Linked DNA regions of Ovis aries. The protein of the gene in region 1 purifies or fractionates together with the protein of each later gene. This does not show direct contact. Links are inferred from orthologs where the notes say so. Each region holds a gene or a part of one and is shown in the gene's direction. Other genes may lie near its edges.

Region 1 (11,033 bases):
GATATGTGTTATAAAGATTTCCACGTGAGTGAATTATTGAAATCACCTGAAAGCCACCGACTGCAAATTCTGCTTTTCTTATTTAAGTAGCTAAAAATGAAAGATGTGGAGAAACAGGAGATACATATTACATTCCCTACTAGTGCTGAATCTTTAAATGATTAGTCAAACAGGGGAAAAGAGTCATTTTGGAATGCAATGCTCTGGATCATTGTTTTCTCATATGTGGCAGTGGAATAATATTAACTTAAATTAGCTGGACAAGCAAAGAAACCACTGTAGCAGGAATTAGGCTTTGTAATCTTATCCCTGAGGATTTTTTCAGTTTCTCTTTCTTTGTGATAAAAGGAAACACCTGTTATAAATTGACAATAACAGATTTTGAAATTAAGAAAGCCAGTATAATATAAAACCATCTGTAGGCCCAGTTAATCCCCTCCTTAAAGCTCACCTAAGGATATTAAAGGTCCTTATCTGCTTTTGACCCCACTCTGCTTAACAGATCTGCTAGTGTTAATGGGGGGAGGGCCCAGTGGTCACCAGCGCATCCAACTTGGCACTCATTGTGTTGCCGCTACACCAAATACCTACTTCCTTGCTGTCCTCAGGGCCTGGCAGGAAAGAGCTGCTGCACCTACATTTTTAAGTCATCTGGACATATTCCACTCAGTACGAAGAGGCAGAAAGGCACTGCAAAGCAAAGACATTGCTTAAGGTTTTCAAAAGGCGAAATTTGACTAGAATTTTTTGATCAGTTATAGTAGTTGTTTTGCTTTTTTTTAGTTTTTTTTCCCCAAAATAATTTACTTTAAAAACAAAGATTAATTTCTTCAGCCAATATCTGTCAATATCTCATTTCTTGCTAAATAAGCTTGGACACATCTTCTCTGGTAAGGCTTGCAATCTTACTGAGAGATTAAAAAAAAATAATCATAATAAAAGAAACTCATAGTTAAACGCTTAGCCAGGGTTAAATGCTTTGATTCTGTTTGTACTATGATTTTTTTTCATCTCTCAGTAAGATTGCAGAGACGATGAGTAAGTTTTAGTTTACTGACAAAATGCTAAATGAGTGACAATATAAGTGCAATAGAAGTTCACAGGAAGATGACCACAGAATGGGCAGGAATGGTCACAGAAAACTTTGTGGTGAAGACAGAGAGGGAAGGAAACTGGCCTCCTACCTAGTGCTGCTATATATATCCTCACATTCAGAGCCCTGCTCCACACCTTGCCCTTACCAGGTCCATCTCTCAGGCGATGATGACAGTGGCCGGGAAAAGGGAAAGACCACCAGCTTTGTATCTGTGGCTCTAGCATGGAGAGAGGAGGATGAAGTGCTCTTGATACATTGCTGTTGAAGGTTGCCTGATGATAAAAGGGAGCCATGGGTCTGGCCTGGTCTGTGTGCTAGAGATGAGCTTTACCCCATCCCTTAGTAGGGAAAACTTTAACAAGAAAAGATACATTTTCAGCTGGAATGCAGAGCTTTTCTTTGTAGCAGATTGTTGTAGGTGACTAGTTTCTGATCTCATACATTTGCATTTTACAGGCTTTTGTGAATTTAAGAAATTATCCATGATTTATATAATTTTTTTCTATAGGAAAATGCTTATTTTTATTCTCAGAATGACTCAAATATAAACTGAAGGTTATCGTCCAACAGTGGTTTCAACCCTGACTGAAAGTTATAATCCCCTGGAGAGCTTTAAAAAAATACCTATATGCTCAGTCCATGCTTGTATTAGACCAGCACTGGCACGTGGGCATCAGTATTTTTAAAAACCTTCCAGCAGGGCCTAACGTGCAGCCACAGTGGAGAAACCACAGATCTGTTATCTGGGATTTGTACTTAACCAGCTGATGCTACTTTTTGATTAACTGGATTTCAGCCCTAAGTCACTGTCAGTAAATTTGTTCAGTACCCAGCTGATAAGAATTCCTAGTATATATTTCTTGAGATACATAATGTATAATTCTCAAAGAATTTTTTATAGCATTTTCCAGTAAGACTAAGCAATTAGTTTGAAGTGACAAATCAGAAAAGTGCCCCAAGTTTACACATAAATCTAAGCCTTTGCTGTATATACATTAGACCAAAGCCCAGCCTACAGCTGTGTGCACAAGTATATATGTGGAGGTATAATCATTCTTTCTAAAAGCCTGCAGTTGGCAGCTACCAACTTAGCTTATGTTTTGATTTTACTCCTATATTGTACTAAGTATACAACCATGTTCTTGACACTTATCTCCAAAAAGCATACTTATTTCTTTTCCAAAAAAGTGGAAAATACATAAGTAGTAAGCACTGGAGCAGATACTCCCTGTAAACCCCTGTTATGTTAGTGAAGAGAATCTCATTTGTAGTGAAGAGAATCTTTGACACAGCAGTAGCATTATTTAACGTCAAAAGTATAAAAGTGAATTTTAATCTTTTGAGAGCTAACTTATTAGGATTCGCTGGATTGCTACCCTCAGTAACGTAGCCTCCAAATAAATATCAGTACATATGGAAAGGAGGTAGTAGGCTGTGTTATTTAAAATCAAGGCTGTCTGGGAAACAAAAACACTGTATCTGTATAAGCAGTCAAATTAATGGTTCTGCCAGCTAAACCTAGGACCTAAAATTATACTTGTTCTGACCAAAGAAGCTAGAAAAAGCAACAGCCCTAATCGTTTGAGTGATTGTTGTGCAAAAACGAGAGAGAGAAACCTGAATTAATCAGCTCAGTCTCATGCTAGAGTTATGGCTTTAGCCTCTTAGATATGATCTGTTCAGTATGTTGGTGATATGAGGCAGTGTAACCTAAACGACTGTATTGATTTAGAACCAGTATAGATCCTCTAGCTTTTGTCTCAGTTTTTCTACTTTAATGCTCTCAGGGCTTTGCATTTTATAATTTTCAATTTTTTTCTTAAAAGAATTAGTAGTGTTGAAATTAGATATTCAAAAATTATCAGTTTCCTGTATAAATAATGTGTCTAAGCACCAAAAATGTTTAATGATATTTTAAGTGTTTAAAAATATAGAAGGAGAAAAGCTATATCACTTTCAGCTTGTTGTAATTTCCAAAGCTATAGTTATTTTGTGATGAACACATGCCCTAAGAACATTTTCTAAGGTATATATATATACTAATAATAATAATGGTATTTTTATAACGTAAATTCATTATTTACTACTTATTTTCACAAGTCTGGGTTTTAAAAATAATCCTTAGTGAATGACATATTTCTGTATGCCCAACTGAATTCTTTGCTCAAATTGGGTTTATACAGTTTTTGGAAGTCTTCCATTAAAATAGAAGGATATTGTAGTTTTCTCATGAATGCTTTTTCATTTAATTATTATGATATCAAATAGTGAATCTAAAATGAATCTTCAAAATTCCCAATGATATTAATGCAATTTAATTCTTTTTCTCAAAAGTAAGTAGTAATGAGCTTTTGCTAAACTGTTCTATCATTCTTTAAAACTAGAATGACAGAAATAACATTTCTATTATAAATAAATTTTTACAGATGAGTTAAATATATTTCTGAAAGAAAAAAATCTACTTTTTCTTGTTTCCTTTCACAGGCAGCGATACCGTCTTTATCCAAGTTACACTGCCCCATGGCCCAAGTTAGTATATTTGGTTTAAGACTCATAATTTTTGCTTTGGCTTTAAAAATTAAACCAAATGTAACCTTTCCCTGCTAAAACTCGTCTTGGGTCTGGCAGCATTGGTGCCTTGCTTTGCAGCATCTTAGAAGTGAGGCCTTCACTTGTACTATCTTTTGATCATAAATGATTTGCTTAAACTTATATAATTCTCATGCTTTTTGTAAAACCTTTCTTCTCTTTTGAAACAACATTATTATATGGGTGGCTTCCACATTTAACCATTTCTCATTTCCAACTTTGGAGTTCTAATGCCCAACTTAAAAAAAAAAAAGGCAAGAGCATGCATGCGCATATGGGAATGTTGGCAGCTACATGCAGTGTCTTAAGTCACACAATACACTTAGGCTGGGGACAGCACAGGCTGTAGGCAAATGACTTATTTGACTTTAGAACAGCTGTCTTATCACTGTGACTATCTGTATTATACAACCTAAATATTCATCACTGACAAGCAAAATAAAGTTCCAGTGTAGGTATTTGTTTTTAAAGTACTAACAACTCACCAACTATCCCATAAATTTTAAGCCAATAGATTGTTTTTTGCTGTCCTTCATACAAATGATTTCAGAATGTATGCAATGGAAAATAGTGTTATAAGCTAACTTACAAAGTTTCATAAGAAGAAAGGTAGGTGATCAGAATGTTGCTTATTTAAATAATATCAATACACAAAGTACTCTAAGTTCTATCTTATAACATTTAATTGACAAAATTTAAACTGTCAGTGTTTAAAGGAAAGAAAACCTGCCAAATACAATTTTGAATGATCATTTAAGTGTTTTTTCACATCTTTTTCATTGTGCTGATGTACAGGTTAACTTACATTAATGTTTTTCAAAGTGTAGTTATTTATATGCCTATATTAAGCCCTTATCATAAATGTTTGTAAGATAGGTTACAATTAGAGGCTTTTACTTACCTTTTTAGTGCCAGTTCATCAGTTTACTCCTAAATCAGGTTCACTAGATTCTAGTGTAATTTCTGTTTTTATTATCAGCATAGCCTCAGTCATTTTAAATGTGTTCATCACAATGAAAAATTTTGGATTAGAATGTGATGAACCTGACTTTGCTTCCCCACCAAGGAGAGCTGATACCTAAGCAAACTGAAGAGATCCCTCCCCAGGACAGGATGGCAGGGAGAGACATTGGAGAGAGTGGTTAAGAACAGAAAGTATTCCCAAAGACTATCCAGTGAAGGCAAGGAAATTCCATACTACTACAGTCGTGGTGGGGGCGGGGTGGGAAATGAACCCATCATAAAAGGTTAACAAAAATTACCATTCCAAAAGTTTTTAATAGTTTGCTCTCTCCCAGAAAATTCCAGTAATAGATTAACAATGGAAATGTTACTTTCTTCAAGAAGTGTAACAACAGAATAACTTAGACAGCTTTTTCTCTGAAAACTCTGCTGAGAAATTTCTGCATGCTTTTATAGCAGTTTGCTTTAATAAAGGAAGTACTGTTGGGTGTTGCTTTATTGTACTGCTTTTGATACTTCTGTACATTTCTTTTAATAAATATAAGCAGGATTGATGATATAAAATTCCTGTGAGCTTTTCAAAATTGTACCATCCTACAGGATCTGCTTCAGTATCATCTATAAGTTTAACCAAGAGCACTGATGAAGTGCCTGTCCCCCCTCCTGTTCCTCCACGAAGACGGCCAGAGTCTGCCCCAGCAGAATCTTCACCATCTAAGGTAAAGTAGAACATCTGGTTATCTGGAGACTGGAATCATTGCAGTTCCATTATAATCAAGTGCTCATCTCTCATTGAGTTCTAACGGAATGAGGTTAATACTCAGGGTACTGGGGCTTAATAGAGTTTAAACCAGAATTAAGTATGGGTTTACCATTCAGTAATGTTTATTTCCTTTCTTCTGAAAGCAGTTTTCTGGTAGGTTTTCAAAATACTTATAAATCTAAATATGGGTACTGTCAAAAAAAAACCCCACAAGTTTAACCTATAATTTAAGAGTAATGTAGTCTCAAGCAGTTCTGTAAAAAGATAGAAAGAGATCTGAAGCTGTATATGAAGGCACGTTTTAAATGAAACTGTATCTCAGTGCTAAATGTTACATATCTAAGCCTGTAACAGGTGAATTTGACAGGCTGTGGGATTTTCATGAAAATTCCAGGTCAGAAGAGACCTTAACAGCTCATAATAGCTATTTTTTTCCTACCTGTTTAAATTTCTTTCTTTGCCAACTTGTTAACATGATTCGGTGGTATCAAAGTGTCCAGAGAGCAGAGCACCTAGGCAGGGGAAAACTCTTTGCAGAATACCATGAAATGCTATTATAGTAAATTTAACATTATAAAATTGATAGGTAACATGCTAAATTGAAATGATTTTATATTAGATTGAGTGATAGGTAAGCAGCAGCAAACAAAATTTTGAGAAGAATAAAAACTTAACATTGAAGGAAAAATAATTTTTTTAATGGATGAACTGCCATAACCTCCAATTTAAAGCATATGGCAAAACTCCCTGATCCACACCTAGAGTTCTTCCAATAACGTATTTGAAAACCCAGCTTAATTCTTAGTATATTCATGGTGCTACATATGTTGTTAATAAATGTCTTTTTTTCCCCATTTATGTTAGATGATGTCTAAGCATTTGGACAGCCCCCCAGCAATTCCTCCTAGGCAACCCACGTCAAAAGCCTATTCACCACGGTATTCAATATCAGACCGGACCTCTATATCAGACCCTCCTGAGAGCCCTCCCCTATTACCTCCACGAGAACCCGTGAGGACACCTGATGTTTTCTCAAGTTCACCACTACATCTCCAACCTCCCCCTTTGGGCAAAAAAAGTGACCATAGTAATGCCTTCTTCCCAAACAGCCCCTCCCCCTTTACACCACCTCCTCCTCAAACACCTTCTCCTCATGGAACAAGAAGGCATCTGCCGTCACCACCATTGACACAAGAAGTGGACCTCCATTCCATTGCTGGGCCGCCTGTTCCTCCACGACAAAGCACTTCTCAGCATATCCCTAAACTCCCTCCAAAAACTTACAAAAGGGAGCACACCCACCCGTCCGTGCACAGAGATGGACCACCACTGTTGGAGAATGCCCATTCTTCCTGAGTTCCTCTGGATCAGGATGTACATTTTCCTAGCCCCAGATCCATTGCTGGCGATGGATGCACTGAACGTGCCAGCACTGAGGAGTTAAAATGAAAACTCCAAACACTAACGACTCTACTTCAAGATGCAGTCATAAGACAATGAATTTTAACATGGACATAATTATAAAGTGAGTATGGAAAAGTTGATCTAGAGGAAGTGGACAACTGATTTCACCGGAAAATCAAGTAAAGGAACCTTTTGCCAGCCAGTAAGCAGGAGTCCTCTTTTTGTGAAGTGATCTTTATCATTAAAGGGATGGAAAACAGTCTAGTATCCAGCAGGCCCACATGATGACAGTTTTTGTAATTCAAAATATTATGCACTTTTTAAAAAGAAATCTTAAACAGGGATCTTCAAATCCTCCTTTGTTTTCCTTTGCTTTTACTCGTCCTACTTTAGAATATTTTCTTAAAAATCATTCAGAGGACTGTGAGGAAAGGCTGTGGTACCTGCCCTTGTTGGAATCAAGGCCCAGCACCATACTGCAGTCCTGTTTACAGATTATTACAGTGAATTGAATGGGTACCGAGGCTTCACCAAAGAGGTACTTTTTTTTTTTTTTTTTTAAGAATAATTATGCCAATTTTAAGAGCATCGCCCTACCCACCCTCCCTACACAAACAGAATGTGGTGGTGTTGCCTTCAAACGAAGTTTTGTGTCATTAACAATGACAGAAGAACTCTTCTAAAAATGTAACTGTCAAGCATATGATTTACATTTAGGAGACTGTTAATCTTTATGCTAGATTGTCATTTCCCCCCTTTTCCCACAGAAGTTTACTGGTAATCCATGTCATGGCTTGTAGCTGTCCCTCTAACCATACTGTGGAAGTGCAGTCACCCGGTGGGAAAGGAGCACTTGCTGGGTGTCGCTGACACCGGTCATGTTTGACTAATAGTTGAGTGATCAGCATATCTAGAATTACCTTGCATTGCCTAAATCATGTGTATATAGTGAATGTTATATAATATACCTGGCAGGTCTGTTTTAATTTAATTGAATAAAGATACAAATACTTTGTTTGGCTGGCATATATTAAATTATTATATGGAGAAAATGGTTGATTCTTATTTCTTTCAGTTGAAACACACACACACACAACACTAAGCATAAAAGCACGTATTGTGGTACGCCTTGGTTTCTAGTTCTGGATGTGTGTATTCCTCTTAAAAGAATGGTCTAAAGTTGCAGTTCAGCATGTAGGAAAATATTTGGTTAGAATAGGATGGGTATCTTTTAAGCAGAGCTTTGTAAGGTTTTTAATTTCCTAGGTAACATGTATTACAGTTTGTTAAAGTTTATATTAAACATTCTACCTTGCCTGAGGTCTTTGCTCTATCAGAACTATTCGTAATAGAACATCTACCTACATCATTAATAGCATAATATGGATTATTCATTAAACCTATGTACTGACCTTCTGAGTCTAACAATACTGTGACTGAAATGCATGCAACTTGTTGAAGAGAAAAAATGTTATTAATCTCCACTATAATATCTGTGAAGTGTGCAGTATTCCATCCTTAGAGAGTCATCAGTTCATCTGTATCTGCATGTGTCCTCTGAATAATGAAGTAACATTTCAGCAGTTCTGTTAACCATGCCATTAGAGGCATTTTTAGAAGTGCTGCATCATGGTGGAAACCTAGTACTTTAATAATTTTCTGTGATATTTATTACAGCATTAAATGTACATCACAATAGTACAATATATAGTCCTTTAAGACCAGAATGTTGGTTGCATCATCATTAAGCAATCCATCCTGTCATATTCTTTCTTATTTATTTATTAGAGTTGAATCTTTTGTTTTTAATATTTGTACCATTCCTATTAGGGTAGCCACTTTTATGAAATGTCTCCTTTCAAAAGTCTCCCCCAAAATTTATTTCAAATCCACTCTTGTTTGCAAAGCATCTATAAGACCATTCATTCAACAAGTATTTATCTACGCCTACTTACTAGTGCTGCTACAGTTAATCATAATACACATTCCAGAATTTCCATGACTTTTTATTAGTCCAGCCTCATCATCCCTAGGATTTCCCTTTATGTGTCTTATGCACACTTCTCTTTAATTACCCCAACCCTAACTCCAAATGAGAACCTGAGAAAAGTCACATTGGAGCCCATTCAGTATCCCTCTGGCCAGTGTGTTAGCCTTCTAACAAGGTAATGACCTCTTTTCAGCCTTCCTGATTGCATAAAGAAGAAAAACTCAGATTTGAAGTTCTAATCTTCCAAAGGGAAGTATTCTTTTACCCTGGTGGTTCTAGGCGACCGCTTCACTGTGCATCAGCTGTATATGCATTGTGGATAGAGGATATTTGTACTCTGAAGTATAAAAGTGGGGTCAAAATATTTTCTGCAGTGGTAACTGGTTAGAAAAATTTCAATTGGATGCCCTTAAACAGTAGTGAGAAAACTGTATCCTTGCTTTCTTCACATGTGAAGCATTAACTCACTGGCAGATTTACTCTTTGTAGTAACTGAAATCTACTTAATCCAGGGACAAGAAGTGGCTGAGAAGATAAATGCATCACCACAAAATTCTGCTTTTGAATTCAGGACATTACAAGACAGTCAGTGCAGCATGACTTTCCTAAATCTCATTCCAAAACATGGAACATTTCTTTTAGAAATGGAAATGCTCTTAGTTGTTTCATTATCTTTGGATCAACAAAATGAAAATATTTCAAGGCTGAATTTACCTACATGGGCCAATAACCAATATAATAGAAAGGGAGGCTTTTCACATCTAAGTAGTTTTAAAAACAGGAACAAATAAAGTATATGTTTCTAAATTTATTGAAAGACAGGTTATTTACTCTTTCCACATCTCCAAATGTATTTTAAGACCACGAATGATCAGGAAATGTATAAACATCAAAAGTTTGCTTAATTAAAGGTTGTTGGATATCAGATTATGTGTTCAGTAGGTTACTATGCTCTAACAACTCAAGAATGTTGTAATGATTCTAAATTTAGTGAAGAGCATGCCACCCTAATTATACTACAGTTAACAGAACAGTGTAGTGAACTGTACTTTTTCAGTTGGAGGCTACACTGTGGTTCCAAATTCCTTAATGTGTTTTTCCCTACATTAAAAATTAAACCAAAAATTAGTTGGTATCTATGATCACTATCTTGTCTTAATTCTCAAATTTAGCTCTCTTTAATCATGTACCTCATCATTTGTCTTTTAATGACAGCTTAAATTGAGATTTTTAAGTGGCTCAGCAAAACATAATGCCAATGGAGGGGGGGAGAATTCCAATTTATTAGTGTTACACATATTGAGGAAAACCTTTTTTTTTTTTCCCCTCCAGATTCAGAAAGAATAAACCATTTATTTCTTGGTATTCTGCTGCTATAGGTAGGTTCACTTATCTTTTAACCTATATTGTATGACTGTTGTACAAGTGTAGGTCCTATGGAGTTGCACATTAATCTTTACCAGTAAAATAAGCATCACAGGGTTAAAACCAGTTTGGCTGAAAGAATTATGCAGTAAAATTATTTATAAGGGAAAGTGGTGACTTAGTTTATTTATTCAATATTTTTCTTTTGAAGCATCTCATTACTTTTAAAATCATTTCATAATCCTTTATACATGAGCCAATGAAATATTTTGAGCTCTAGTTAAAGAAAAGCATGAAGTCTATATGATAAATCTGAACAAAAGCACTTGTAACTTGTTTTGTAAATTTCATGCCTTATTTTCCATTTTTGACACCGTAAAGTGCATTTTCTGTCAACTGTGAGCAAATTTCCCTTTTGCCTTTAATGAAAATAGTGCATTAAGTAGCCAATTGCTGCAGAATTACAGAGCAAGTTAGCTAAAGGTGGATCACATTGGACTACCACTCAAAGAAACAAGATGCATAGCAGATGGAAGTCACACGTGTGGCTTTAGGGAGAGCGCACCTGTGCCAGATGCATGCCACTTTTCAGTAGCTGCCAAATGTGCCTTTAATTAAGAACATCTCTACTTTTTTTCTTCAGATCAAGTCAGCATTTGGGGGCGGGATCAGGGCAGGGGACTCTGGGGTGCAAACATCTGGTGAAACCCACCAGAGAAGAAGCCTTTGTTTGTCAAAGTGACACGAATAACTTTAGTTGAAACATGTTTGTGTATATATGTGTGTATTTGCCTTTGTTTAGTAGCACGGTTATTTGCTAAAATAATTGTCAAAAAAATTGCTCTGTCAGTCTTACTTTGATG
Region 2 (10,542 bases), about 110 Mb from region 1:
TAGCATGTGAGATGAGTGCAATTGTGTGGTAGTTGGAACATTCTTTGGCATTGCCTTTCTTTGGGACTAGAATGAGAACTTCTCTAGTCCTGTGGCCATTGTTGAGTTTTTCCAAATTTGCTGGCATATTGAGTGCAGCACTTTAACAGCATCATCTTTTAGAATTTGAAATAGCTCAGCTGGAATTCCATCACCTCCACTAGCTTTGTTCTTAGTGATGCTTCCTAAAGCCCACTTGACTTCTCACTGCAGCATGTCTGGCTCTAGGTGAGTGATCACACCATTGTGGTTATCTGGGACATGAAGATCTTTTTTGTATAGTTCTTCTGTGTATTCTTGCCACCTCTTCTTAATATCTTCTGCTTCTGTTAGGTCCATACCACTTCTGTCCTTAAGTGTGCCCATCTTTGCATGAAATGTTCCCTTGATATCTCTAATTTTCTTGAAGAGATCTCTAGTCTTTCCCATTCTATTGTTTTCTATTGTCATATAAGCTATTCAGTTCTATTCATCATAGTTTTCAAAAAGGCTCTCCTCTTCCCACTTTTGAAGAGATCAGTGCTTCAGTTGTTTTGCATGTCTTCTGCTTCCTTTGAAATGTTACTCCTTTTATTTGAGTTTAATCTTTAGTACTATAAGAAGTGTTGTTTTAGAGAGAGGTGTAAAGTTAGTCTAGTGTGTTGTTATGTGCTAGAACATTGTAAGTGGAAACCAAAGCCAGGAACACATCACAAGAGGTTTCTATATTCCCTGGAAAGAGGTTGTACTTTAGACTGGAGATTGCCCTGTAGTGGCTAAGTCAACAGATAAGGAAATAAATCTTTTACTGTGGTGATACTTTTTGTATTATTTCTCTGAGATGTTCTCTCTGTTGTATGGCAGTGTGACTAAATCATGGTGATTTAAGAGAGTTAACTAATAAAATGCATGCCGTGTATTAGTTAAATGTAACCATTGGTAACATCCCCTCTCTCTCTAGCCTCTCATCCTCCCTCGTTCCCTCTCTTCCTTTCACTTATTTCTCTTTCTTTTGACTTCTTTTTTCTTCAAAAGCTTTCCTGGGTACTTGAGGAATTAAAAAAAAATAGGCTAAAATAACACTATCTTATTATTTCACACTTTCACTTATTTCCCAGGGACATCAAATACTTTCTGAAATACTCTCCCTGAAAAAAAGAATCAGAAGAGTGGTCACAAAAGCTCCCTTAGTGACCAAGTCACTGTCACTTGCCAAGTTAGTTAAATTGGATTACTGTATCAGTTCTTTGTATTTAACCCTTGAAGGTGATATACTACAAATATGTATGTGTATGTCTCTGACTCAGATTTTAAAAGGATCAATTTAGCTGTTGTATTGAGAAAAGAATGAAGAACAAAGGGTGGGATCATGTAGAGAAGCGGCAAAGAGATCTATGAACAGGCTGCTGGATCAGACCACGCTGGCAGCAGAAAGAAGACGAAGTGAAGTGTTGGATGTGTGGTGTATTCTAATGGTGGGACCAACAAGTTTTGCCAGTGGATTGGATGTAATTGAGGGCAAAGGGGAATCAGGCATACCTCAGTGGTATTTTGCTGGAGGCACTGGAAAAATAGAATTCCCAACTAAGTTGGGAAGTCTAGCATAAAAGCAAGCTTCAGGAGAAGATGAGTTATTCCAATGTAGACATGTTACATTTGAAATATCTAGTAGACATCCAAATGAATATATCAAGTAGAGAGTTGGTGTAATATGAGTCTAGAGTTCGGAGGACCAGCCTGGACTGCAGGAATATTTTGGGTAGTCACCAGCTTTTAAATGGCGTTTAAAGCCATGAGACCACCCACAGTGATCATTGATGCAGAGAGTGCCTCAAGAAAAGATGTCTAAGGACTGAGTCCTGGAGGGTTAGGGAGATGAGACAGTTCCAAGAATAGGATACTGAGGTCTGTGAGACAGGAGGAAAAATCAGAGCGTGTGTGTGTCCTGAAGGCCATAAGAAGGTGTTTCAAGGAGGAGTTGCCTCCTTCAAATGTTGCTGATGGATGACATAAGTAAATGATTGGGAATCAACCACTGGAGTTTAGCAAAATGATGCAGAGAGATGCACCAATAGCCTAATTGCAGTGAATTTAAGGGGAAACTGAAGAACAGGAGTTTCAGCAGGCTAGTCTGGACAGATTTTTTAGTTTTGTTAAAAGAGGAGCAGAGAAATGGGCAGTAGCTGAGAGGGTACATAGGGTTAAGAAAGGGCTTATTTAGGAATTTCCCTGGCAGTCCAGTGGCTAAGACCTCACCTTCCAATGCAGGGGGTGCAGGTTGATCCTCACTCAGGAAGCTAACTAAAATCCCATATGCCTCACGGCCACAAAACCAAAACATAAAAGCAGAAGCAATGTTTGCAGCAAGTTCAGTAATGACTTTAAAAATGGTCCACTTAAAAACCTTAAAAAAAAGAGACTTATTTAAATGTGAGAGAAGTAACAAAATAATAGCATGTTTGTAATTGGTTGAAATGATTCAGTCAGAGGAAAATTGATAACATGGAAGAAGCAGGGGGAAATTACTGTCAGAGGATTTAAATAGACAGAAGACGTGGAGTCTAGTGCACTTGTGGAGGGGTTGCCTGAGGACTGTGGAGTCACTTGTCTATAGTGTAATAAAGGATAGCTGGCGGAGTGTACAGGGAAAGTGTTGGTAGTGCTGGTGGTGCTGGTGGTGAGGAGAGCTACTAGAGAATCTTAGAGGGGGAGCTGCTAAGGAAACTTAGGGATCTAAGTTTAACTTCTTTATTTTACTCAGAAATGATGAAAGTGAGATCATCAGCTCAGGGTGAGGATTGGAGACTGGGTGTTGGGAGGTTCACAGAAGGAAGAACATAGGAAATGTTTGTCTAACAGCAGACAATTGTATGGTCCAAGGTGGGATTTCTCACCTTGAGCCCTGTGGACGTTTGAGGCTATGTAATTCTCTACTATAGGAAACTGACCTGTGTGCATTGCAGCCTGTCTTGTTATATCAGACCTCTACTCACTGCATGATGGTAGCTCCCTTCTTTCTTGACCCCCATTTGTGACATCTTCCAAGTGTCTCTGGCTGTTGCCAGATGTCCCCTGGAGTCAAAATCCCCCACCCAGTTGAAAACCACTGGCCACAGGAAATGTAGTGTGATTATCAGGGAGCATTAACTGCCCAGTGGAGATTCATAATCATGAAATTAACATGAGCCCACTCAGCACTGTTGTGTTCTATTTGGTGTGCAGGTGTAGCACAGAATAAGAAAGTTAAGATTTAACAAGGGTGGGGGTCTTGCCAAATGAATACAATGAAGACAGAGAAGAAACAGGGAGTGATTTTAATAATTGATTATAAAGTTTATGCTTGGTGAGAATGGAAGGGAAGATAGGAGGAATACTAGATTGTCAGCCCTGCTGGGGTCCAAAGATTGTTGGCATTGGAGTCCTAGAGAGAGTGAGTTGTTGGAGCTTTAAAAAAAAAATAATAACCTCCTCTGTGTTGGTATCTAGGGAGGAAATCTCAGATGGAGGAAGTGCAGGATGAACTTATCCACAGACTGACCATTGGTCGGAGCGCCGCCCAGAAGAAGTTTCACGTGCCACGGCAGAACGTGCCAGTTGTCAATATCACTTATGACTCCACCCCAGAGGAAGTGAAGACGTGGTTGCAGTCAAAGGGCTTCAACCCTGTGTAAGTCTCTCTGGGGATCCATTACAGTTCTGTGCTTGAAACATGCAGTGTTTTCAGTTTGATCGCTAAGATGCACAAGTGATTCCTAGAAAATGTGAGAACCCAAGCTGCATCCGTCACACTTAGGAAATGACTCTAGCCATTTATAGCTAAAAAACGAATTGCAAGAAGCCCGGAAATAACTGTCTTTCATTGGCTCCCCATTTTCTAGATGGTGGTGTCTGTTCATCATTGGCTTCTGAAGCAATCTGTTGGCAGCTGTCTTTATCTTTCAGAAGGTCACATATGTAGACTGTGGTCTTAACCTAGACTCCCCAGGCCACAGAGGACACAAAGCAGAAACTTTCCTCCTGTTGTAGCATGTGGACCCCAAGCAAATAAAAAAATAGATGACGTTACTTATCATGGGTTATAACCTAATAGAGCCTTTCCTTTTGGAAATCCATAGTGAAGTTTCCATTTTTCTATTAAAAAATTATAAATATTTTGTGTATATTTGGTACACATATTTGAACATGTGTATTTGAACTCTGAACAATACGTATTTAAGAGAACCTGACACATGGGACTCACCTATGACTGAAAAGAATGGTTAGTCAGTTGCCTGACTGCTAGAAAGTTATCTATTCCTTCTACAAAACACCACATTTCAAGGAATTGCTACTACATAATAAGAATAATAAACCCAGATGGCTCTTTTTTGATAGCTTATGGTTAGTGATCTTATTGCCCTAAGCACTCTAGTACCATTTATGATTTGCAGTGTATAGAACACCTAGAGAAGAGAGATTGTAGAGGACCAGAAACTTTCCTTTTGCTTTTTTCCAGACAGTTTGTATGTATGTATGTATTTATAATTTATATTTATATAAATATGGTTGATTTACAGTGTTGTATTAATTTCTGCTATAAACAAAGTGGCTTAACTATGCATCTATATGCATTCTTTTTTTTATTCTTTTCCATTATGGTTTACCCCAGGATGTTGAATATAGTTCCCTGTGCTGTACAGTAGGACTTTGTTGCTTATCCAGCCTATCTGTAATAGTTTGCATCTACCAACGCCAGACTCTCAGTTCATCCTTGCCCCTTGGCCACCACGAGTTCAGACAGTATTTTTAATGTTCTGTTTTTTTCTTTTCTTTCTTTTGTTTTCTCAGGACTGTTAATAGTCTTGGAGTATTAAATGGTGCACAGCTTTTCTCTCTCAATAAAGATGAACTGAGAACCGTCTGTCCAGAAGGGGCCAGAGTCTTTAGCCAAATCACTGTTCAGAAAGCTGCATTAGAGGTATGACTGTCAACCTAAGAGGGTGTTTTTCTGTATTAGTCATGAGGGTGGACTGCAGTTTGAAAGCTCTGGAAATAATGTTTGTGTCCATATTGGTCACTCTCTTTGCCTTTCATACAGAGCTGAATTCAACTTGAATCAGGTTTAATAATCTATTACTGGAGTCATCAGTGACCGCTTTTAGGGAGATTAATTTATTGTTAAGTGTGCCTGCAAAATGAAGCTTCATGTATTTTTGGATGTCTAATAAAAAGCCTAATGCTTTCATTTTATATGTGCTAACTACTTCTGTAGAAATTTTATTTACTCATTTACTTCAAGTGAATAAATGACCTAAGAGGCCAGAACATTTTTGCCTGTCCTTAACGTTTAGTTTGTAGATTCTAGCAAGTTTGAGATTGCTGTTGTTTAGTTGCTAAGGCGTCTCTGACTCTTCTGTGACCCCATGGACTGCAGCCCACCAGGCTGTTCTATCCATGGGATTTCCCGAGCAAAATATTGGAGTGGATTGCCTTTTCCTTCTTCAGGGGATCTTCCCAACCCAGGGATCAAACCTGCATCTCCTGTATTGGCAGGCAGATTCTTTACCACTGAGCCACCAGGGAAACCCAGGTTAGAGGTTATAAAGTGTTAAAACCGTGGCTGTGTGCCTTAGGCCTGCTTAGTGAACTGAAAGTTGCTCACTCATGTCTGACTCTTTACAGTCCCATGGACTATACTTTTCATGGAATTCTCCAGGCCAGAATACTGGAGTGGGTAGCCTTTCCCTTCTCCAGGGGATCTTCCCAACCCAGAGATCGAACCCAGGTCTCCCACATTGCAGGCAGATTCTTTACCAGTTGAGCCACAAGGGAAACCTAGGAATACTGGAGTGGGTTGCCTATCTTTTCTCCAGCAAATCTTCCCAACCCAGGTATCAAACCCAGGTCTCCTGCTTTGCAGGTAGATTCTTTATCAACTGAGCTATCAGATAAGCCTAGACCTGCTTATACATATAAATAATCAGAGGGAAAATATTAGGCAGGGACCACTGGAAACAGAGAGCCCTGAAGAGTAATTCCTTAGGTATAGTTGTTTCTGTGAAAGCAAGAGTAAATTTTTTCCAGATTGGATATACTTAAGCTTCCAATATCCTTCTCTACTTAACATGGGCTGTGTAAAGGTAGTAGTTTCTAACTGTTACATCTCACAGCTCTTAATAGCGTTCGTGAAAATTAAACTCAGACTCAAATGAAAAGATATAGGCTTTGGTGTGAAATCAATACACAGTTATCTCTAGCAGGTATATTGTGTAAATTCAACAGTTAAATAATGTACTAAATAGCCTCATGCATGCAACCCTGTAACCATTCTCAGTCAGAAGAAATATTTCCCTTGGAAATTTTTCCCACCACATTGATCTTGCTTGGTCCTATATTAGGCTTTCTGTCTGTTGAATATGAATCAGGATTATATCTTTCCTCAGGCTGTTTAGTTACCATTATACATTCTGCTTTTATTGAGAATGTGTAAATTACTCCCTACGGGTTAAGTAAGTTCCATAACCCTAACGTTTCTGAGTTCCTTCCGTCCCGACTCCCTATTGCTGTCATTTTCCCTGACTGCCCGTGTCCTCCTGGCCTCTTGTTCCTCTTCCTCTGGATGTGAATTGTTACCTGAGGTTCTGCATCTTCCCCAGGCACCTTCCCATCATGCCCTTCTCTTGTATCTAGTTCATTGTTTACTCACCTGTGTGTCGCCAGAGACTTCTGTTGATGAGAGAGGATTATAGTGGGTGCACAGGGGTTGTAGGTCAGACTTCAAAAGGACGGAAACCAACAAGATGTCAGATGGTCACAACCCTTTGGTATGGGGAAACTTGGAGTTTTCTGAGCCCAGTCTTTGGGCCTGATTCAGAATCCCCTACAGCAGATAGATGAATATCTTGCTTGACCTAAAGAGCATTCTTTGATAAGTTACCATCTTTTTGTGCTTACTGTACAATCTCTTCTTTCTCCCAGGGAATCTAAAGCATTCCACATGCATTACTGATTTACCTTTAACATGTTCAGGTGAAAGCATGGTGAATGAATGATCTTTAGACACTATCAGTGAAAAAGTGAGGTCAGTGAAGTCCAAATCATCACTCACCTGAAGGGCAGCCTTCAGTTCCCCGCCAAGAGACGTGAGAAGAAAAACACAAAGAACTTTTAGCCTGAGCCATTTCATTAGGTGATCTGCAGCCTCACAAACCACTAACCATCTTGTCTGAACCGTGTTTGTTTTTCAGGATAACAGTGGCAGCTCTGAGTTGCAAGAAATCATGCGAAGACGACAGGAAAAAATCAGTGCTGCTGCAAGCGACTCAGGAGTGGAGTCTTTTGATGAGGGAAGCATCACTAATTAGTTTCAGAATTCCATCATTCTTGGCATGTTTCCACCATGCTTTGTTTTAAGAAGCCATGACAGGAATGTCAGAGTTGTCTTCTTGGTGTACAGAATCTATCGCCATAAAGAAACAATGCAGACCTAAGTAAGCAGAGGACTTGCTTCTGGGCCCATTATTTTTATTAAAATTAAAAATTTTAAGCAGAATTTTTGACCTTGGGAAATATTTTGCATATTTGACCAAGGTGAGGTTTCCTTTAATGGATTAATTATTTCATCTCAGTCTCAATGCATAAGCAGATTTTTTTGATAGTGGTGAATTTATTAATTGCAGCAAAACAAAAAGATAGATATGCCCATGATTCAAAATCTAAATATTTTTAGTTTTGCCTGTGACTGTGTTGTGTATCATCCAGGGTGTAGCTTACTTTAGGCTAGTCTCTGCTTACTTAGGTCTCTTCTTGGACATATAGACTATTTAGATTTATTTAAAGTTCTTAATGCCAACAGTTTTAAAAAACTGAAACATTTAATGAATTGTAAAGTACAACAAGGCCTTGGACATACAAATAGAAACCTTTGGAACATTCCTGAGACATTTTATTTGTCATGGCTCTGTTGTTCACAATTCCTTGTATAGCTTGTATTTTGATTTAGTTTATATTCTGCTTATTACCTATACTGTGTTCTTATATATTAAGAAAGCACAAGTGTAAAAGAGGTCACATACATTCAAAATCTGTCACAGGAAATAGCCTGCATTGGTGTGTGTTACAGTATTTTGCTTAATGAAGGCCTCAGTCCTAAATATTGATATAAGTAGTTAAAAGCAAATTGGGGCCATCTTATGTGTTTATCCATGTCAAGTTTTTCTGGTAATAAGAAATAATCTACACATATTTTGATCCTGTGAAAGATTCTAGGTAGAGAAAAGAAAGAGACCTAACCTTCAACAAAGTTATTTTTGGAAACATGATTTTTGTCATTAAATGTTATATTATTTCACATATATAAAACAGATGTTATGTAAGAATGTTGTATATTTTAACATAAACCCATTTAGAGAGATTATCTAGTTTCATTAATTTTCATAGTGCCTTTTTCACATGAGTCAGCTGGAGAGTCTGCAATAAACAGTATTTGCTGTATGTTAATAAATGGCTTCTGTCTCATTGGCAAAAGGGACCTTTGGCATGAAGAACGGGGATCACGGTTGAGTGGAATGGGAAAAACAGAGGCCCACTTTTTTTTTTCCTTTTTAAACTGATTTCCAGTGAAGTTCTGAGTGGGTAAAAACTGCTCTAGATTACTTTCCTCAGTTTCTCTTCCTTCCACCTCTCTTATTTCATCACATTTTCTTCTACCAGCAAGTCCAGTTGATCCCAGTAGTAGAAACAAACTTACACCCCGCATTTGTGATTATGAAGTGCTGCCATATAAACGCCTTGATAGAGAGCTACAATAACCTGTGAGCTGTATATTATATGTGGGGAGGATTAGCTTCCTAGAGGTTAATTTTCCCCAAATCATGAGGAATATGAGAGCCTCTTGTTTTCCATTTCTCAGTTCCTCCAAAGCACTGTCCCTCAGACAAAGTGAGACAAACATTAGAATAATAATTATCGTCTATCTTTTCCATTTCATAAGCATGGATGCACATGTGTTTATTTTTAAATGTTTTTAATTTTTTAATTAAAAAATATTTTGGCCATACCACATGGAATGCAGGACCTTAATCCCCTGACTGAGGATTGAACCCATCTTCACCCCACAGTGGAAGCAGAGAGTCCTAACCACTGGACCACCAGGAAGGTTCCTGATGCACATTTATAGCTTAGCCCTTATGGAAAATCTCTGAAAATGTAGAGATAAGGCAAAAGGAATTAGGATAGGAAAGTTAAAATAACCTGTGTGCAGTATAGCATAATCTGATTCGAAAAGAATTGGTGTCATTTATGTCTTTATGCTATAAAATTCCAGAGGAAAATATCACAGAGGTAGTAATTGCAGGAAGTAGTTACATCCTTTAGGGTGATGACGACAAAGAGAAGAGTTGGAATTCATGGAACTGAAAAGCTAGAGGGAGAATTTAAGCCAGAAATCTGAGGAGTTAGGCTACTGGGATGAGAAATCTGGAGAAAAGTTCCCACCACTGGTAAATAAACAGACCTCCCAGAATGGGGCAGAGCCTAACTCGTGCTGTTGCCTCAGGAATTCAGAAAATAATTCAGCTGAAAAAAAAAATTGTTGACTCTGTATGACAGTCTATAGGCCCACCCACATCTTTACAAATGACCCAGTTGTATTCTTTTCTATGGCTGAGTAAAATCCCACTGTATATGTGTCCCACATCTTCTCCTATCCATTGCTCTGTTGATGGATATTTAGTTGGTTTCCATGTTCTGGCTACTGTAAATTGTGCTGCAGTGAACATGTATCTTTTTGAATTACGGTTTACTCTGGGTGTATGGGCCTCTCTGGTAGCTCAGCTGGTAAAGAATCCGCCTGCAATGCAGAAGACACCAGTTCAATTCCTGGGTCAGGAAGGTACCCTGGAGAAGGAACGGCTACTCACTCCAGTATTCTGGCCTGGAGAATCCCACGGACCAGACAGGACTGAGCGACTTTCACTTTCTCGGTGTATGCCCAGTAGTGGGATAAAGTCAGAAAGAGAAAAACAAAGACCATATATTAACACATGTATGTGGGTTCTAGAAAAATAGGTATAGATGATCTTATTTACAAAACAGAAATAGAGACAAAGACATAGAGAACAAACGTATGGATACCGAGGGAGAGAGAGGAGGATGGGAATGATGTGGGAGACTGGGATTGACACGTATATGCTACTGACAGTACGTATAAAATAGACAACTAATGAGAACAAGGACCAACTATATAGTGCAGGGAACTCAGTGCTTTGTGGGGACCTAAATATGAAGTAAATCCAAACAAGAAGGGATGTATGTATATGTACAGCTGATTCATTTTGCTGTGTAGTAGAAACTGACACAGCGGTGTAAAACAACTATACTCCAATAAAAAGTAAAAAGAAATAAAATAGTTGGGCAAATCCATGGAGCTGGGACTCAGATATTTAAGGACAACAGGCCAGGCAGCTGAAACTGGGATTTCCGGAGGGAGAATAAGGAGGCTGCTCTTGGGAGTCACTGGAACCTATTGGGAATCAATTGCTACTT
Region 3 (11,033 bases), on another chromosome or scaffold:
AGTCACTTCAGTTGTGTCCGAGTCTGCGTAACCCCATAGATGGAAGCCCACCAGGCTCCTCCGTCCCTGGGATTCTCCAGGCAAGAAAACTGGAGTGGGTTGCCATTTCCTTCTCCAAGGCATAAAAGTGAAAGGGAAGTTGCTTAGTCGTGTCCAACTCCTAGCGACCCCATGGACTACAGCCTACCAGGCTCCTCCATCCGTGGGATTTTCCAGGCAAGAGTACTAGAGTGGGGTGCCATTGCCTTCTCCGTTGAACCTTCCTTATCTTCTGCTTACTGCTCATATAACCATAGGCAAGTTCTTTAACTTCTCTCTGCCTCAGTTTCCTCATCAGTGAAAGAGGGGAATTAGTACTGACAGGGTTATTTCAAGGGTTAAATGAGTTTTAGTATATTAAATGCTTAGGAATGGAACTACCATTAGGTATATTAACAGATGTGGTGGAGAGGGAAAAACTGAAGCAGAATGGAAAACAATTCTCAGCTTTGAGAGGCTCACAGCATGTCTGAAGGAGTAAGTGCTGGGTGGGGGTGCATCAGGCAGTATGAAGGAGCCTTGGAGCCAGTGTGTGGAAACAAGACGATGGCTTCCATTGCCTGCTCAGCCCAGAACCTCCTACTTGTTGGCCCTAGTGGGTGAGGGGAACATAGAAACTTGTCTCATTTTGGGAGTGGAGGCAGATGCTAGGGTGATGATTGTGCTGCCTCTTCAAGGTGGTGCTGGGCCAGGCCACTTCTGGAGATCCTAGGGGACTGCCTCTTATCCACTACTGCCTTTTTGAACATCCAGCATTTATTTCATTTGTTTGGCTCATCCTTGTAGTTCTCAAACCTGGTCCTCATGATTTACTCTTTAATGAGTTAAAGATATTCAGTGGTTCTATGAGGAGTTCTTTAGTGAGTTACTTAAAAGATTTTAGACCCTGCCCCCACAAAAAAATCTGTAGTAAAAGAAAGTGCGTTTATTTATCGCCAGACTTCTCTAAGCCTTCCCTATGTTCATGTGAAATTATGACTCTAGACAGGCAGGTATTGGACAGTGGTTTTTTCAAACCAGTCTGACCACAGAACTTTTTGAGAAGCATCTTGAGATTCTATGGAATCTTCTTTGGGAAGAATTGAAAATTTACAGAGGTGTTCAGAGGTTTGGGGGGGGTGTATAATTAAGCTGATTGGCCTTTTATTGGGCATCTATAATATACCATCTACTTTTAGGAACTTACTATTATTAGATAGAAATTATTATTATGTAGATCCCTGTCAAAAGTTAAATAACAATTCAGATAGCTAGAAATACCACAGCCTGAATTCTTCAAACTTTATAAGTCTGAATCTGCAAAGTCACATGCGGATATCCACCATTTTTAGAGCTTTTTCAGGATACTTTCTCAAATGAAGTCAGTGGCCTTGTTAGTCTTTTGTAGTGAACAGATGGTAAGAGCTTTGAAGGAATCTCTATGAATACCATAGGCAGTGGAGAAAGAAGAGAGGGAATGAGAATCTAGGAAAGAGGAAAGGAGAGGAAGTGTGAGGTTAAGAGACTGATAATGGAGCCACTGTGGCGATGCCCATGCCAGAAGTGCCTTGGCCTGTTTAGCCCCCAGAGCTCTTGGGTGTTCTTCATAAAACTCTCAGGGGATTGTAAAAACTGTTGTAACCTGAGGGCGGACATGCTTGGAAGTGATGAGTTGAGCGTGTACAGCTCTGTTGGTTAAAAGATAGCTCTGACTGCCTTGATTCTGATTGCTGACTATGTTCATAACTGCACATTTAGAATCCAGCACAGGTTTGATGGAGAACAAGTCAGTGAGGTTTTCCAAGTCCCAGCTCGGAGAACTCTGCTGTTGGTTCTGTTCTCTAAACTGACTGACTGTCTCCTTCCTTTCCCGCCCTTCTATTTCCTGGCTTTAGCTGTTTGTGGTTGGAAAGAGATGAACTAGGGAAAAGGAGCCGGAGCACATAGCTGTGGTGAGGTTTGGGCTTATCTGGAACTTACGTATATGTATTTTGTTCCCCCTCCTCTCCTGAAGCTTGATTGCCCCATATATATATATAACATGTAACTGCTGCAGCGGCACACAAAAACAGGTATTTCTCTATGGAATAATTGTAACATCATTAGAATAGGAAAAGAGGGAGTTCTTGGTGGTTCAGTGGTTAGGACTCCAGGCATTTGCTGCTGGGATCTTGGTTCAATTCCTTGTCAGAGAACTGAGATCTCGCAAGTTTCCCAATGTGGCAAAACGAAAGAAGGAAAGAACGAACCATTCAGGAATGGAAGGAGCTATTCTTTTATAGTAATTTTGTTCTATCTTAAAACATAGCTTGTTGTTGCCACTGATTTTTGTAGAGTACATCCCCAATTGGGAGTGAATGCCAGGGGAGAAGAAGTCTTCCTGAAACACGCTGCTGTGCTCCTTGCTCACCAGCCACACTGTGTTTGCATTTGTATGCGCAGCTGTGCTGTGAGTTTCTCAAACCTGGGGACAGATTTTCATGTAACTTTTCCTCACTTGAGAGTTATGTTCATTATTAATGAACACGGTCCCTAAAGGGTGACTAGTGAAAGCCATATTGGCATTTGTACCTTGGCGTATTGTTGGGTAAATTCTAGGAAGGGAACTTTTATTCCTAGGTGTCACCAGGACAATTCTCTAAGCCAGGTTCTCGAAGGTTCTCCCTACCACTCTGCCCTTAAGGCTTTCTTGACCAGGCAGTACAAAGTCGGTCTTCTTGGAGCTCACACTGACTCTGTCCTTCACATAGTTCCACAGGCCTGAAGGATCACTGTAGCCTAGAGGTGATAGATGAGGTAGCCATGCGTCTTCCTTGTTTACCAGGCTGGAGTAGGAATTATTACCCATCAGTTTTGAGCTTTAGAGAAGAGAAACTCCAGAATGTAGCACCACTGTGCTCTGGTATGGTCATAACCAAAATCCTCTCTCCAGTCACCAGTTCTGCACTTGGAGCTATTGGGGTTGCATTCTGCTGGTGTCTGAGGAGTGTTTGCCATAGATGGACAATCCTGGGTATGAGCATGTATTTCAACATCTTGAGTCAGAGAGACAGCCAACATTACTGACTGTGGGCTATTAACTCGTTTTAGTTTATAGCCATGAATTCCACAGATGGACTTTTGCAATGTAAGAAATGTGCATCTGTCCTCTACATTGTGTCTCGGCCTTTGTTTCATATGGGTGGAAAGAGAAGTCACTCATGAGTATACATTCTGTATTGAGGACTTTTGGTTAACCTCCAAAGTTTATCACTTCACCTCTCCCCACTAGAGGATTTTAAATGTACTTTTTCTGGTCTATCTGGACAGAGTGTTGTCTAACACGGAACGAAATAATTTGGTCTCATTTTTTAGAGTGGCGAAGCAATTTAGACAGCTGGGCTACCGCAGTGTTCCTGTTTCGCAGCGTTAACAGCAAAGGGTTTTTAGATGGATTGGCTAGGTTTTTGTTTTGACTGACTGGTTTTAATAGGAGTGGTGAGGGTAGTTTAGGCCCTCTCTTTAACAAAGAACTCGAACAAGTAATTTTCACAAAACAAGTACAAATATTCAATAAATGTGAAAAACATCAAACAATCAAAGATGATATTTAAGAAGAGACACCCCTGCTGTTCTGGCAAGGACATGGGGGAAATGGGAACTCATAATCCACTGGTGTGAGTGTGAAATCATAAAACTTTTTGGACGACAGGCAACATAAATCTTGGTGTTCTTACCCTTTGATCCAGCAGTTGCATTTTAAGACGTTTATCCTAAGGAGGTAATAAAAAATGTTCATTAATAAAAGCACTCATAAGAGCATTGTTTGCATAGTGAAAAATTGAGAATAAAATATCCCACCTCGTTGGGATAGCTGCTGGGACCTATGAAAACTGAGAGGTTGCTACATTTCCTGAGGTTGAAAAGAAAAAGAAGACTAACACAGCCTTGAACCCTTGTACTCTGCAAATGGAATAGCCACGGAACGTTTTGGGAGAATGAACAAGAGGTTTCCATAGTGTTCTGTCTTTGGTCCGATATGTGAGCTTGTCATGACGGGCGTGGTTGCTCTCTCACAGCCTCTGTCTCTTCTCTGCTGCAGGTAGTGATCGCTCACCTTCTTCCCAGGGAGCATTTGAGCTACAAAGTATGATTTTAGTTTACTGTTAGGAGAAGGGGTTATTTAGATGATTTTTTTCCTTCTCTTTCTTTCTGGTTAAATATTGAGTAAATATGTACGGGGAGATGCTTAAAATCTGCATTTCATCTCCAGTATATCTTTCAATAATACCCTGCTCTGTTTTTTTTTTAGGGGTGAGTCCCTCCAGACTCCGAATAGGAGATCAAGAATTTGATTCATTGCCTGCTTTACTGGAATTCTACAAAATACACTATTTGGACACTACAACGTTGATAGAACCAGTTTCCAGATCCAGGCAGGGTAGTGGAGTGATTATCAGGCAGGAAGAGGCAGAGTATGTACGAGCCCTCTTTGACTTTAATGGGAATGATGAAGAAGATCTTCCCTTTAAGAAAGGAGACATCCTGAGAATCCGGGATAAGCCTGAAGAGCAGTGGTGGAATGCGGAGGACAGCGAAGGCAAGAGAGGGATGATTCCAGTCCCTTACGTGGAGAAGTATAGACCTGCCTCCGCCTCAGTATCGGCTCTGATTGGAGGTAACCAGGAGGGTTCCCACCCACAGCCACTGGGTGGGCCGGAGCCTGGGCCCTATGCCCAACCCAGCGTCAACACTCCGCTCCCTAACCTCCAGAATGGGCCCATTTATGCCAGGGTAATCCAGAAGCGAGTCCCTAATGCCTACGACAAGACAGCCTTGGCTTTGGAGGTACATAATGTGCAAAATGTAGAAAGAAGAGATCTGCTACAGGGTCTCCCTTTCAGACCTCTTAGAGCTTTGTAGGAATGCTGAATATAAGCAGCAGCATTGTAACATTGTTATAGATGTTGAATGGTACTTTTACCATTAAGTACTGATCTTGGCACTTAATGTTGGGTTTTCTCTTTTTTATAGAAAACCTATTTTGGAATGAGTGAGCTTAAAACTGTATAACTGAATGTTCTGATTGATTTACTAAACCATACTTTGACTTCTTTAATAACACTACCTGAATTCACAGGAATTAACCTAAAATATTTTTTTTCATCTACATTCTAACCTGTTTCTTTCTGTTTATCGTTATCTAAAATAAGTGGGCTCCACAAATTTGAGTATAAGTGGTCTCTATCAAAATACTTAAATGAATTTTCTTATAGAAATGTGTTTTTACTTTAGGGGGCTTGGGGCTTCTTACCATGACTAATTGTATAGGTATAATGAGATAGATACTCAAAAGCGTCAGTTCCAAGAAGCAGCAGGTTTACTTGGTCTTTGTTGTTTGCTGCATTTTATCCTCGAGAAACCAGTTCCTCCTGAGGAGTAAATTTTCACCTTTACTGGTGAATAGTTGTCCTCGGTAGCCCATCTCTGGCCAGCCATCACGTTGTTTATTCTCGTCTTTAGTGCTCACAGCTTTGTTTCTTACCTCCTCTCTTCTTCCCTCCTTCCCTCCCTGTCTTTCTGAGTTATGCAGAGATAGTGGTTCAGCATAAAAGCTAGAAGTGGCATGCTTTCCTGTCTTTCAGAGCCTTTCAGATACGATAACTTTAAGCAAGTAGCTAAATTTCATGAGCATAGGCTGAAGTTACTCAGGGGTGCAGGTTAGCAGAGAAGGGGCTAAAGTATTAATATATTTTTGTAAATGGAAATCTCTAAAATCCTTTGGATCATGCTTATACAGTGAGGAGTGGGAGTTGCCTAAGTAAAAGGCTGTACAGTAAGCTGAAATTTATTTGAAGTAGTCTGATATTACTGGATTTAAAATTTTTCATTTGCATTCTGAAGAGTTGGGTGCAAAGAAGGATTAGGTCTACAGGTTTGACTGAAAAAAATGTGTGCTTTTAAAATGTGTATATTTTGAGATCATGTTGTGACTGAAAAGTATTGTGTCCTGCTTTTGATGAGAAAGGAATTATATGTTGTCTAGGTCACACTACTTTTTCCCACTTAGAATTTGGAGGATAAGGAAAACAAGTTTCTAGCTTCATGTTTTCATTTAAGTTCATACGACGGCAGCAGCCAAGCTGGTGCTGTGCCCGTGACAGCTGTGACTCTGGACGCTTATTGCAGGCCCTGTTAGCCGGGCTGGAGTGTGGGAATAGCTAGCTAGCACCCAGGAGAGAATAGTTACCACATTAATTTTGCTTCCATTTGCAATTCCTTTCTCAAAGAAAATTGGTTTGGTTTGGTTTGGTTTTGACCTCACTGAGCAGTTTCCAGGATCTAAGAGTCAACACGACTGAGTGACTTCACTTTTACTTTTCACTTTCATGCATTGGAGAAGGAAATGGCAACCCACTCCAGTGTTCTTGCCTTGAGAGTCCCAGGGACAGGAGAGCCTGGTGGGCTGCCGTCTGTGGGGTCTCACGGGGTCGGACATGACTGACTTAGCAGCAGCAGCAGCAGCAGTTTCCTAACCAGGGATTGAACCTGGGCCCACGGCAGTGAAAATGCTGAGTCCTAACCACTGGACCATCAGGGAATTCCCAGAATTGTTTGCCCCAACGATGCTTGCCTTAATTAGAGGCTTTAGTGCTCCAAAATGGTTGAGCTGGTCTCCTACTGTGAAACCTAAATCTTGTGAAATAAAGACTAAAGTAGAAGAGTGCTTTATGATGTCACTAAGTTTCCTTTTTTGGTTGGGTATTAGTTTGGAGCCACATGTGTTGACTGATGATGATAGCCTCTTTCACGTTAGAACAAGTACCCCAAATAATAACTTTAAAAACACCTTATGTACTTAAGAAAACATCATGTAAGTTTAGCATCACAGAAATCTAAAGCTAGAAAAGACCTTAGATACCCCTATTCATTTATTGAAAAAAAATAAGAGATGGATCGAATGGGTTGTTTAAACTAGTTGGAGATATGAGGAGTCCAGATCTACAGTGGCCTTTTCAGCCACGCCCAGATCGCATCTGGGGCACTTTCTCTTTCGTAGTGGTGATGCTGCCCTCCCGTCAGTTTTGTGTGGTGTAACTGGCAGCATGTCCTTGCGTGTGGTCTCCGTGCCGGGAGACAGCGTTCCTTTCCTATTTCTGGTTTTCCATAGGAGCTGATGCCTAGTCCCTGTGGAGACGAAGCCAGGAGATAAGGTTAGGAAGCTCTGACTTTCTGACCTTCGCATTCAGATGAGAAAAAAGTTCATTGCTGTAGTCGACCCATTATAGGTTTAGATCTGTAGACAAACTAGGCACATTTCAGTGAAGTTTTACGGTTACCTTGAAATTGATGTTGAAATCATTGCATTTTAGAAGTGGACAGAACCCCAGGTATAATAAGGGTTCAGACTCCTAGTATTTCCCAGAAGGTAGCTGAGGATGCAACGCTCTGGGTTACCTCTCTCAGTCAAAGCAGCTTTGTTTTTACTGTTATATATCGGTGTCTCTCTAAGGTTTTTTTTTTTTGAAGGAAGGGTTTCTGTACTTAAAGAGTATGTTCAGGATCCACCTGTCCTCCCCTTACAGATGGATGTTTCCTGCATGGTATATTTTCTGTGACCAGAGTCCTCCAGTAGAATATAAGTCAATGACTACTTCCTCTTTTCCCACCCATCAGATTTCTCTAGTAGGAATGAAGGTTGTTGGAAAGAAGGCATTAATTCTAGCAAACAACCAAAGTAAGGGTATTCCTTGGTTCACTGTAACTCTGGGGGAATGTAACTGAACCAGGAGGACACCATCTGTTCCATCCTGGAGCTTCTAATAAAGACAGATTTTAAACAAATGTATTTTGAAGGAGACACACTGGAAGTAGCACTAGAACAGTGCAGAGGCACCATTTACTTTTTTGGTCTTAGATTTGATCTGAGATTTCTGTTTGATTGGTTTTGGTTTCATGAGTCATGGCTCCTTGGGAGCTGGAATAGTGATGAATCTTATCTTGTAAATTGCAGGTGTTAAAGTTTATTTCATGCCTCTGTAGACTGTCCAGATCAATCACATTATCTTGGAATGTACTATCATGTAACTTCCATTTTCTGATTCAGCCTGGCCTCTTGCCTTTGATAGATAAGACTTCTGAGTAACCAAGGAGCTTTTCAGGTGGACTTAGGTGTGAACCTGTTCTTCTGGTAGCAGATAGGGAAGACGTAAAGTTCCATGGGTCCCTGATTATATGCAGCAGTGACCATATTAACTCTACATCTCCCCATGTAGAGCTCTGAAACCTTAAGTTATTTAGGCCTTTTGACCTATATATGGAAAAGTGAAGTGAAGATCTTAATTTCCCCTTTGTTCCAGAGAGAAAAAATGAGATTAGGAAGTGTAAGAACTGCATGACAGGTCTTGGCTATATATGTAATAACTTCATACCCACTTGAAAAAATAATAAACATAATTGAAAGAAAATAATATTTTCATTTTAATAAAATAGTTTCAGTTACTTAACCCCCCATTAAATAGCAAAGTTTCTCAAACCTTGGGATCATATGGAACATTGCCACCTTCATTTCCTGTTCCACACCTGTTTTTTCATAACGTACTTGATTTTTATCATAGCAACTGCCAAAGCCCAGCTTTGCAAAGACATGACATCTTTGAAAGGGATGTAGTGTAATCTGATATCAAAATTGTTAACTGTTTTGAGTTAGTAGTTCACATGGCATAACAGACATCAGGTATTGCTGTTTCCCTCAAAAATACAAAATACTTGGTGGGACCCCTCAGAATTTGCTGCAGTGCCTCTGACTCTTCAGTTTGGGAACCTCTGGTCCTGTTGACTGTACTAGTTCTTAGAAAATTCCTTAAGTTGAGCTAAAATGTACCTGTTCTGTGTACCTCTCATCAAGAAGATGGGGAACTTAGTTTTAGTTACTATCAGTTGTTGAGCTACAGAAAAATCTTTTTGGACTCGGACTACAATCAGGGTAACACCTGTCTTCAGTGTGGTGCTTCTGCTTGACATCAGGAAGCATACCTACGCGTTAAATCTCAAAGACCTGCAATGATCCACGAATATGAGCCATGGGCATTTCAGTCCATCTCTGAGGCAAGTGAATCATTAAGACTGAATTGGCCTCACTTGTCTTCACTGATTTTAGAGATTTTAGATGGGCCTCCTAAATATTACGTATTCCTCAGATCAGGGATCTGCAGGCTTTTTCTGTAAAGGACTTTGCAGGCCATGCAGCCTCTGTCAGTTTGGCACTGTAGCGAGAAAGCAGCCATAGACAAACAGCACCTGAGCTTGCTGAGTTAGAGCAGAACTGTTCGCAGAAACAGGCAGCAAGCTGGACGTGGCTCACGGGCCACCTAGTTTGCTGACCCCTTTTTCCCTCCTTAAGTCAAATCTTGAAATGTGTTCTTGGTGTGTTTGAAAGTATTTGAAAACAAGATCCTTGTAGTCTGTCTCAGTACTTGGTTTCCCTGGCTTTATTTACATAAAGTGAGTTAGATGTGTTTCCTGCCCTGAGCTTACAGGAATCATGCAGCAAATCTGGATCAAAGAAACACTGGCAGCTATTGATGCCTTTCCTGTTAGACAGCAGGGATAGAAACTAGAAAAGCAGTCGCCTGGGGTTGCGCCGGCAGGGGAGGTCACACAGTCTCTGGTGTCTCCTGTTTAGGGAACACCAAAAATTAATGCCATTTGGACGTCATATTTTTTCTAATTGTCCTTGGAACTCACTGGTAAAGGTGAGTGTTCATTAAGTTCCCTGGGAGTGAGGAAAATAAAGTAACTACATTCAGTCCTCTTTACAGATGATGCCATGATTTACTTGCAGACTTACTCCTGAGGGTGTGGTATAGGGTTGAGAGACAAGGAACTAACTCGGCACTAAAACAGTACCTTGGTGGTGAAAGAATCACCAGTCTCTCCTTTACAGGGTGTTAGTGGAGTCTGCCTCATGAGAAGAAAGGTTGACTGCCTTGTCGTGCTTCGGGTCCTTTAGAAGTTCTTTCGTTTTCGTTAGTGCATAGATGAGGGTTTTCTCTTCCATCTGTAACGTGAATTTTGAAATCAGTAATGTGAGAACTACAGTTACTACTGCAGGTACGTTCCTTTGTGTCTTAAAATTGGAGCATTTCCAGGGCAGGCACTCAGTCTCGCTTTCTTTGTCTTTGCGTTAGTGCACCAAGCTTCAAACCTGTGTGCACCCCCCTGGCCCTCCCTGTTCTTGCCTGAGGGCACTCTGCTTTAGAGTGCTGTTGCCTGACAGGGAGAGGACCACAAATTCCGGTGTCACTTCTGACTTGGAGAAAGAACTGCACTTAGTGGAGTGCCGTATTCCCAGGCTGCCCCATCCCCTCCTGCACTCTGCCTTAGGCTCCATACCCACCATCTTCCAGATGGTGGGAACTCGAGGGCCTTATGTTTTCTCAAAGATAGTCATGTTTTTGCCTTCTTGACCCCAAGACTCCCTATGTGCTTTGACTGTTTCAGTAGAAAGAAACCATAGGGTATTATGCATTGGTATTTAATTTTAATAAGGTCTACCTCGAAGTATTTGTACTTCAAGGCCACTTTGGGCAGGTTAATTAGCCTATTAAATGCTTACAGCTTTCCTCTTCTACCCATTTAAAAATCAGAATCATTTCAGAGTCATGACACGACCTTTCTTTCACCCCTTGATGTTTGGACTTTTCTGCCAAGAACCTAATCAACTAAAAAGAAAAGATTCTGGATTCCAGAAGATGGTTACTTTTCCTGAGTCTTTCTCTGCAGGGTAGAACCAAGAGAGTGTGTGTCAGAGATGACCCTGATGCTGTCCAAAGGCCTACCTTGCACTCCATTCTTCTCCCTCCTAGCATCTTGCTGTACGGGAGCCCTGACTTATTTCTCATTTAGAACTCTGCAGGAAGAATGGTCTGAGGGCAGAGCAGAAGGCTTTGCTCTCTTGTGGAGAAGCTAGTGTGGTTTTGTGGTACTGATGACATGGAGGGGGTGGATGGTCCACATTTTAACTACCTGTCGCT

The links.
Region 2: the proteins of SOS1 (region 1) and EPS8 purify together in Homo sapiens (affinity purification with western blotting; 5 studies listed by BioGRID and IntAct, with this or other methods). This does not show direct contact. The link is inferred for Ovis aries from reciprocal best matches to the Homo sapiens genes SOS1 and EPS8.
Region 3: the proteins of SOS1 (region 1) and CRK purify together in Homo sapiens (affinity purification with mass spectrometry; 6 studies listed by BioGRID and IntAct, with this or other methods). This does not show direct contact. The link is inferred for Ovis aries from reciprocal best matches to the Homo sapiens genes SOS1 and CRK.

Annotation. Positions count from the first base shown.
Region 1 is NC_056056.1:85,196,506-85,207,538, forward strand, and holds part of SOS1 (son of sevenless homolog 1), read left to right. Parts: intron 1-3,580; coding exon 3,581-3,625; intron 3,626-5,248; coding exon 5,249-5,367; intron 5,368-6,275; coding exon 6,276-6,767; 3' UTR 6,768-11,033.
Region 2 is NC_056056.1:199,938,723-199,949,264, forward strand, and holds the end of EPS8 (epidermal growth factor receptor kinase substrate 8), read left to right. Parts: intron 1-3,504; coding exon 3,505-3,685; intron 3,686-4,845; coding exon 4,846-4,975; intron 4,976-7,244; coding exon 7,245-7,361; 3' UTR 7,362-8,500; downstream 8,501-10,542. UniProt on the Homo sapiens protein: Signaling adapter that controls various cellular protrusions by regulating actin cytoskeleton dynamics and architecture. Depending on its association with other signal transducers, can regulate different processes.
Region 3 is NC_056064.1:22,466,090-22,477,122, reverse strand, and holds part of CRK (adapter molecule crk), read left to right. Parts: intron 1-4,309; coding exon 4,310-4,845; intron 4,846-6,525; exon of another isoform or gene 6,526-6,598; intron 6,599-11,033. UniProt on the Homo sapiens protein: Involved in cell branching and adhesion mediated by BCAR1-CRK-RAPGEF1 signaling and activation of RAP1.